Linked DNA regions of Nothobranchius furzeri. The protein of the gene in region 1 purifies or fractionates together with the protein of each later gene. This does not show direct contact. Links are inferred from orthologs where the notes say so. Each region holds a gene or a part of one and is shown on either strand. Other genes may lie near its edges.

Evidence for each region.
Region 2: the proteins of gskip (region 1) and gsk3ba purify together in Homo sapiens (affinity purification with mass spectrometry; 10 studies listed by BioGRID and IntAct, with this or other methods). This does not show direct contact. The link is inferred for Nothobranchius furzeri from reciprocal best matches to the Homo sapiens genes GSKIP and GSK3B.

What each region holds. Positions count from the first base shown.
Region 1 is NC_091758.1:32,385,902-32,390,509, reverse strand, and holds the start of gskip (GSK3-beta interaction protein), read right to left. Parts: upstream 2,926-4,608; 5' UTR 2,787-2,925; intron 1-2,786. Other genes in the region: autophagy-related protein 2 homolog B, read left to right, coding at 4,160-4,321, 4,589-4,608. UniProt on the Homo sapiens protein: A-kinase anchoring protein for GSK3B and PKA that regulates or facilitates their kinase activity towards their targets.
Region 2 is NC_091754.1:24,451,873-24,456,286, forward strand, and holds the start of gsk3ba (glycogen synthase kinase-3 beta), read left to right. Parts: upstream 1-1,371; 5' UTR 1,372-2,178; coding exon 2,179-2,266; intron 2,267-3,010; exon of another isoform or gene 3,011-3,716; intron 3,717-4,414. UniProt on the Homo sapiens protein: Constitutively active protein kinase that acts as a negative regulator in the hormonal control of glucose homeostasis, Wnt signaling and regulation of transcription factors and microtubules, by phosphorylating and inactivating glycogen synthase (GYS1 or GYS2), EIF2B, CTNNB1/beta-catenin, APC, AXIN1, DPYSL2/CRMP2, JUN, NFATC1/NFATC, MAPT/TAU and MACF1.

The DNA.
Region 1 (4,608 bases):
TGGAGCCACTATAACTCAATTTCATGCTAAATGTTTTGACTATCGCTTTGAGTTTGTTACGAACGCTCCCGCCTCTCTTCTTATTCTTATTTGTGGTCTTATGGCACTTGGCAAACAACAATTTGGTGCATTACTGCCACCAACTGGATTGGAGTGGAATGACTACCAATCACTTCCTGTTTGTGCAATTATAACAGGGCCGCCTGGTATTTTTTTATCTTATAAATGGTAAATGGCCTGTATTTGATATAGCGCCTTCTAGAGTCCTGGAACCCCCCAAGGCGCTTTACAACACAATCAGTCATTCACCCATTCACACACACTGGTGGGGATGAGCTACAATGTAGCCACAGCTGCCCTGGGGCGCACTGACAGAGGCGAGGCTGCCGAGCACTGGCGCCTTATGGCTGTAAAATTGTAATACAAAGTGCAAAGTGTGTGTAACTCTTCTTCTTTCAGAACAACCTCAGCTTTTAGTGCATGATTTGTATTTAGAATTTATTTCTATTAAAGCCTTTAAAAAAATCAGCTTAAAAGTGAAAAAAGCAAAAAAACGCATTAAAATTTTTTACATTTATTACTGAACAGGAACTTCAAAATGACTTGGGCAAACAATTTGGGATGAACAATTTAAACTTTGAACTGTAATGCATCTAATCCTAAAAAACTGTGAACCTTGGTATCTTTTTTAGCAGTTCTAAGACCATTTATTTTTGTAAACTTTCAGATGTTTTTATTTGATGTGGTAGACCTTGAAGCAGTTCCTCTCCAGCTGCAGGCAGAGTCCCACTTTGCGTGCCTCACACTGCCATGGGGTGCTTCTCTGGCACACCGTGCACTGCTATACCAAAAACTTTTGTTTTAGCAAAAATAATTATTTATGGTGAAAGGTAAATAATGCTGGAATTAAGCTGAATCTTACAATTAGCAAATAGTTGAGGGTTGTTCAAATAAAAAAATAAAAAATAATGACTGAACAAACATTCATATCCTGGTTCACTGGAGATCTGTCCTTCTTCGTAGTCACTGTCTTCAGATATAAGCCTTCTGGGACACCTAATAGATCGTGTTGATTTTCTCTGAGGCGTTTCCATAATTTCATGCTGGTTTTCATGCTAATTAGCTTCCCTGTTCCGTTATCCGCTTTCACCGCGGCGCTGCGCTCCATTACAATCAGGCTGTACAGCAGGATGTCCCCTCGTAGCGATATTTTCCATAACTCCGATTGCTTCATGCTATAGATCGTTGGAAAGCTGCTTTTATTTTAGGAACCGTTGAAATTTTTTTAATCTGACCAGCCATTCAAAAGTAATAAAACAGAGCATTTTGGATGACAAACTCAGCATGTCTCTGAATCTGTGTTGTGATTCGTTGCGCTCAAGACAGGAAATCCCGGTGGCTACCGTAATGTATTGTATATGCACAAAACCCCCCATTTTTAATCATTTCAGCACTTTTGGAATTTTAATGATATCTTGAACGGTTCAGGAATTATGGTAATGATAAGTGTGCATGTCCAATCCCGTCGGTGGCGACAGGTTGAATATTGTGGCATTAACAGAGGGGTGCCGGCGGTCAGGGCTAGGGGGCCCCCCCCAACACAAGGGGGCCCCAGGCGGCCGCCGACCTATGCCTAATGGTAAAACCGCCACTGAGAACATTGCACAGGTGTTACTCCTACACTATAATTATGGCTAATAAAACACGTTTGTTTTGATTCTTTTTGTTCTTTTTTTCCCTCTCAACCCCATCATTCACTGCAAACCTGAGGACACTCAGACTCTATGCAGATGAGTAACTATTGATTTCTCTTTTGCTCCATGCATTAGTCGAAAAAGCTGGAACCCATCACGATGCATTTACTCCAGGGTGCAGATTACTTCACTTCCACGTGAGTCAGCAGTTGCATGTCTTTGCTTTGTCATCAGTCATGACTGCAATCTTCAAGGTGCAGCAAAACTAAACAACCTCCACAGTAAATCAACTTTTACAGGGTGGGGAAACTTTCAGAAAGTTTATTTTTAAACCACAGACATTCTTTTCGTGTTTTGTTTATGGATGCTGATAAAATTAGTTTTATACACTTTAAAATAAACACTGTGCAATACTTTGTCACTGCTGTTTTTTGTACTTGAGCCCTCTATACAAGTATTTGTTTTACAGTTTAGTAACATAATGAAAAACAATACCTACAAACCCCTGCTTATTTATTAACCCAATTAATACGGAAAAAATACACACTCTGAATCGAACTCGGGCAAACATTTACATGTATATATGTATTTTAATAAGTAGATTAATATTATTATTATTAGCTTTGATGATAAGATTTTTTTACAACGACAGTAAAAAACATTATCAATGCATATTAAGTACATTGTGCAACCTAATGCATACGAATTATGCCTGTTTTCGTTTATAAATTGTACTTTATTGAAGATTCTTGTAACTAAATGTTTATAAAAACAAAAACAGCGACACCTTGTGGAAAATAAACAATGACGCATACGTATCTGCAAAAATACCAATAAACTGGCTTTGTAATTCACATAAATAGAATAATAACTTTAGGTGTTATAGTTATGTTTATTGAGCAAATGAGGTTTAAATAAATGTGGCGCTAAACTCTGCAGTTTTATTGAAAATCAACTGTTCGATCCAAACGTAATTCCGTCCTTCTTTTGGGTTTTAGGTGTGAATCTTCAATGACGTTTTGAAATATCAGTAAGAGATTGGATCGTGCATAAACAAATAAATACAGATGAAGCTGCAGTAATTTTTCTCACCCTCTCGCTGGTTGTGTTCTTCCGGTTTGGAGAAGCTTCTAGTTCCAGCCCACTGAGCTGCTCTGCGTGGGAAAGAACCACCCGAAAGGAGCGTCACTTCAAAAGCTATGATGAAAACACGCTTTTTTAACTTATTTTGTACAGATTAAATTCTGATTTTCTAAATATCAGCCAATTCTTAGTTGTGAAGTGCCGTGAGCATAACAGGTCCGCCATGTAATGACGTCATGAACTAATCCCACCCCTAAATGTGTGGGATTTATGGTGCATTCAGAGGCATGTAGGAAACGAGGAGAACTTTGAATAAATACTGAATTACTTAGAAACAAAAATATATAAAACGCCAAACGGTACGTATGTTTTCTCCTATTTAATGTCGCTGGATAAGAACATGTTTGTGTTGCTTTTGAGGGTTGCCAATGAACATATTTGAGTGTTTATTTCTCCCTCTGGAGGTCTCTCAATTAAATGCAGGGTCAGTTGGTGCGGAGTCATGAAAGTGTTTGTAAACAACTCAATCAGAAGGTAACTTAAGAGCTGTCTTGATGTGGTCTATTTAGCTTTTCTAAAGCGTCGTCGTTGAATTATAAACCTTGTTTTTAAGCATAATGTTTTAATTCGTTTACATTTTGAGTGGAGAGGCTTATAAAAGGAAAATGTGTTTTTACCTTTGCTCGCATGCTAACTAGCACAATGCTACCACCTTAGCTTTATGCTACCCACCGACTACGCTAATGTAGCTTCACCCCACAGAATGGGGAAACCTCACGCATAATAGCCGGCTAGTTAGCTGAATGACTTGCCTTTGTCTAGCCAACAGTCAAAACCGCCTGTCATGACAGCTGTGTTTACATAAACAAATTTAAAGGCTGATAAAGATGATAAATTTGTGATATGCTAACTACAGCTATTTCGCAAGTAACTAGTGGTAACAAGAGGCACAAACGTGCTCTTTATACACACGTTTGTAGTACGATTAATTTATATCCACCCAAGTGATTTAGTATCGTCTCAGTCTTCATTTAACAGCTAGATAACTCATTGTTCATAGTTTTCCTGTTAATATTTTGTGTTAAGTCATATGGTGTCATATTTCTAACCTTGTGTGTTGTTTTTCTCTAGACGCAGCAAACTGGAGTCGGACCCATTCCTACACACATCTCTGAGTATCAACACATCCTCCCGACTGTCTCAAACCCAGAGATATGAAGGATGTTTGAGCTCACAGTTTTTCTGCATCTTCAAGTCAACAGGATGACATGATTGTCACATCACTGGTTCATTCATAGCTGTCTGAAAACCTGCAGCGTTGCAGTAGCAAACTTTCAAGTCAAAATTTCATCACTTGCTTGCTGCTGGCCTACCAAGTTGAGATGCCTTGGCCGTTTTCGGAATCGATCAAGAAACGGGCTTGTAGGTACCTCCTGCACCGGTACCTAGGAAACTTCCTGCAGGAAAAACTGAGCTTGGAACAACTCAGTCTTGATCTTTATCAAGGCACTGGGTCTCTTGCGCAAGTTCCTTTGGACAAATGGGTACGTACAGCTCATTAATTTATTCCAACTGAATATCCAATCTAATGTGTACTACGACATAAACATAAATTCCAGTCTGATATGATAAAATATTTCTAGACCACTACATTTTTGGGTTAATGAGTTTAAGGCATCAACAAGAACAATTTTGGCCAATGCTATAAATACTCGTATGTCAAATTCTTAGTTTTGTCTTTATTACACAGTTGCACATTTAAAGGGAAATAGAAAAACAATACTTATAAGGCATAGTTTCCCATTTCACAGTCCCTTAATGAGCTGCTGGA
Region 2 (4,414 bases), on another chromosome or scaffold:
TTTCTGTGTTTTATCTTTATGCTTGTGGGAGAATATGCTTTGGCTGGGGGAGGTGTTGCCGAAGGGAAATCTGTGTCTTGCGTTACTTCAACTCAGCAGCCTGTTTTAAAATGCTGCTGAGGTTTATTCTGCATGTGAACCATTGAAGGACAGCCTCGGAGAAATTCCTTTTGATGTGCAACACAACAGAGTATAAATAGATCACACAAAAGACAGACTGGTGCCAGCCCACTGTTTACTGAGAAAAAGGGAAGACTTCATCTTGAGGTAAGAGACTTTCACTCTGTTTGGGATGAGTAATAGTTTCACTCTGAGAAACAAAAACTGGTTTTCCATTACAGAACTAATCCTGATGAATTTATATGGTCATTAACAAATCACATATTTGACTGTGCCATCTTTCTCTCTAAAGGCCTCATACCAACTTTCATGCACAGTAGAGGGGGTGTGATGTTTGGAGTTTTCTTGCAACCAAAAGATCATGGCACAGTAGCAGCCAGACGTGAGGTTGTCTTTAAAAATGTCAAAGTATCCCAGAGTCTAATGTGGGATCTTCCACCACACAGCTGAACTTTTCCTTTTGACATATAACGGAGGCATGCACTGATGATTGTGATACTGAAGCTGCACGGACCTCCTGTAGTTCAGGGTCACGAGAGATACGTGTAATCCCTTTTAACCTACCGCAGCTTTATAAATACTTTACATATCATATCAGTTACAAATATCAATTCAGTATTTGCCAAAAATCTAATTATTTGGCTCATTTGACTGCATACGTTAAAAACTTATAAGCACTTCATATTTTAAGACTTAAACTATAGCTTGGACAATTTTCATGCAGAACCTCTCTAAAAAGTTATACTGAAGGGAAACTTACAACTAAAATTGGAAAAACTGAGCAATAAATTTACTTGATTTGCCCGAGGGTCGCGTGGGAAAGAGAAAAAAAACGTGTCCATGAAAGGCAAGGGGGGTAGGCTTTTGTAACTAACATAGCAACAGTGCTGCATGACCACCGGTGCTCTGTGACAGCTGGGGCATTTTGAACTGACAGCCGGTTTTTTTTTTAGCTCCATTGGTCGAAAAAGCCATCAATCCCGGTGGTTGCTCCGCCCCTTACCCCCCTTCAAGGCATGGAAAAGTCTTTGAAGTCATGAGGGCGGAGCTGAACAAATAATGCCATGTGGTGCTCAACACCTGCGTTTCTATTGGTCCACTGCGCCGGGGAAACGCCTTTTTCTGAAGGATCCCATCTCTGATTGGTTGACCATGCCGCCCCAGTTTTAGCGTAAGCGCGTTCACGTTTTTTTAAATTCTCGGTCACGAGTTACGTAAATAGCGTGAACTTCTTACGGTGATGGTGGAGCTAGCTTGGAAACCCTTTACAGAAACAGCGTACGTTACATGCGCAGCGACAAAGACTGCGAGCCCGAAACCTATGGGGAAGAAATAAAAAAAGACATTCGGTATCGTCGCACTCTGTACCTTGAGACCGTTATTTTTCGAGAAGCTAGCCGCCCCAGAGCCTCGGTTGTGACGCCGAAATTTGACGACGACGAAACCGGATTCAGTGTTGGTTTGAAGTCGTTAATTCGTTAAAGAGGACTGTGACGACTGGCAATTTTTCCGTTGGACGGTCTGTAGGCTTGGGTATAGCGGGAGCCGCCATGGCAGTCGGGTCATTGAGCCTCCACATCGGGATATGAAGAGGAACTGCATGTGTCCTGAGTCGTCGAGAAAACGACACGTTTGTCTTTGGTCCACGTTGGATTAACATCCGAGCCAACCCTCCTTCATAATTGTGGAATTCATACGGAAAATAATCGTTTTTTTAGCAGGGGCCACAGGGAGAGGCCAGATTCATGACTATTTTAGACGGAGAGTCTTCTGAGGCCCGTTGAAATAAATCCTGGAGTTTAAGAAGGAAATATTTTCTGATTGACCGTTGTTGGGAAAGAAAGGACTGTTTCAAACGAATTGATTTTTAAAAGAACAAAAAGTAACGCAAGGTACCGTAGGATAAAAAGGGGGTCTCTTTCTGCCTGCCCTTCCTGTGGATCACAGATACATATTCATTTACTGTCAATCCTTTTTTGGATGAGAAGGATCGGTGAATCGATCAGCTCTTCCGTTTAGTCAAAGCCTCCCAGTCGAGAGAATCAAAGGGATTGGATCATGTCGGGTCGGCCCAGGACCACATCTTTCGCCGAAAGCTGCAAACCAGTGCCGCAGCCCTCTGCTTTCGGCAGCATGAAAGTCAGCCGTGAGTACACCTCTGATTCTACAGTGACTTTTCTCAGCACGTACCAGGCCTAGTCAGTCTGGACAACACGCACCCCGCTAACAACCCTCTCATAAAAGGTTGGACCTGACAGAAATATGCTCACACCGCCCCTGTGCCGCTCACCGCTGCACTCTGACGTACCGCTCCGGAGCCGGTCAGCCTAGTAGGCCGCGCCGGAGCAGGGCAGGGCCGCCACGGGGCTTGGGGGGCGAGTGTTGGCACCGGCCCAGTTCAGAAACCATGCCTTCTCCAATTACTGCAAAATCCGGTCTAATTATTGTATAACTGACTTTAGATTGGATCGCAGAGCATTACTACACAGCACCAATCCTATGCATAACGGAGTTAAAGCGATGGGGCTGGTTTATTACGCAAATGGAAGGTGCGCCCATCGTTGACTCATGCGAAATTGACCAGCTCCTAGATAGACCTAAGCTAAACGAGCCCTCTTCATGATGACAAGCTGATCGCAGATGCCAATGCCCTCTGGCTAGAAAGTCTGGCACCTTTTAGCTCTCATTTACGGCATCTGCGACAATTTTATAGCATCCTAAATTACTCTTATCCACCACCTGCACAATTCTCCCCAATTTAAACACTATAGTTAGAAAAAAATAGCAATTTTGTACTACAGTTTCCAGATACTACTAATTTAATGTTTAATGTCTTCATTTAAAAAAGCAAATCTCTACTTATTTGAAGTAATAGCTTACATTTCAATACCTTGACACAATTCACAGCAGCTGCACCCATGTTCCACCTTTTTGCTCGTTTAGGTGTGTGAAAGGGGAAAAAGTGAACGTGTTATGGAATGTGGATGGTGCTTCGGGCTGTGATGTGATCAGGATGTGTGTGAGCAGTGTTTAGGCCTGAGGCTCACTATTGGGTCTCGGTTCTGGAAACCACTTAATGGATTATGACACACAAAGAAGAAAATGCACTCCAGTCCCAAACCTAACACTTGTTGTGCATCATATACATGCATGAGTGTTTAAGAGCTTCCTGTTAGTGTGTCCAAAATGAAAAACAGTATTGTCAAGGGGTATTTGCCAGTAAACGAGTTGACTGTATGAGGATTCCTGTTGTCACAATGTAAAGCTTATTGTAAAACATATTTGTACTATTAGCTGTATTTTTCTTTCAACAGGTCTGTCTGGTAAATCAACGTAGAAACTAGGGATGTAAGAAAATATTAATATGGCAATATATGGTGATATTATTTTACAGCGATATATCGATATTCAATATATGGTGATATTATTTTACAGCGATATATCGATATTCAAAAGCTTTGTATCAATTTTTTGGAAGAATTTACATTCTTACATTCAGTACATTTGTGTATTTTCTTTTCTTTTGGTGCAGTTCAATCACCGACTGCTGGTTGGCAGCAGTGTGCAATGGGCTTTGTTTCCTCCGTTGACTTGTAACCCCCAAATTCCACTACCTCCGCTCCGGTCCGCCCCCGCCCTCCGCTGCCGCTCGCTTCCGAACTCAATTTTTACTGCTACCCGCTCTACAACGGCTCCGCTCCGGTGCGGAGACCTGAGGTGGGCAAATAAGCATGCGCGGGATTTTCGAGATCTTGCGATACAGTCCGAGCAATAAACGCGGAAGTTAGATCCAAACACCCGTTGTGTGGGAGAAGCATCGACATGAACTGTTTAATCTGCCTATCATTTGTGTTGAGAGATCAGCAGTGTTTGGATCAACAAAGTGTGACTACTTTGATAGTGGAAACTGTATTTATGGCTTACTTTTGTGCATTTAAACTTCAGCCGCCACTGATAGTTGTTAAAAGTTGTTAAACTTGTGCATATGAAAGAAAAAACGCCTTTTGTTTATCGATGTATTGTGAAAAACGGAAGTTGTGCCCGCTCCTTTTCCTGTTGGACGGTTGTGATTTCTGTCCATTTACTGCGGAGGTGCTCCGGCGTCCGGCGAAAATAGGATCGATTCTTTTTTTGCCGGAACAGAGGACGGCGCCGCACTGCCGGAGCACGGCCGCAGTAGTGGAATTGCTCTGATTGACTAAAACGGGACCGATTTTGCTCCGGCGTTCGTGTCGGAGCGCAGCGGAGCGGAGCGGAGGTAGTGGAATTTGGGGGTAAATCCCTCTGTCATTTT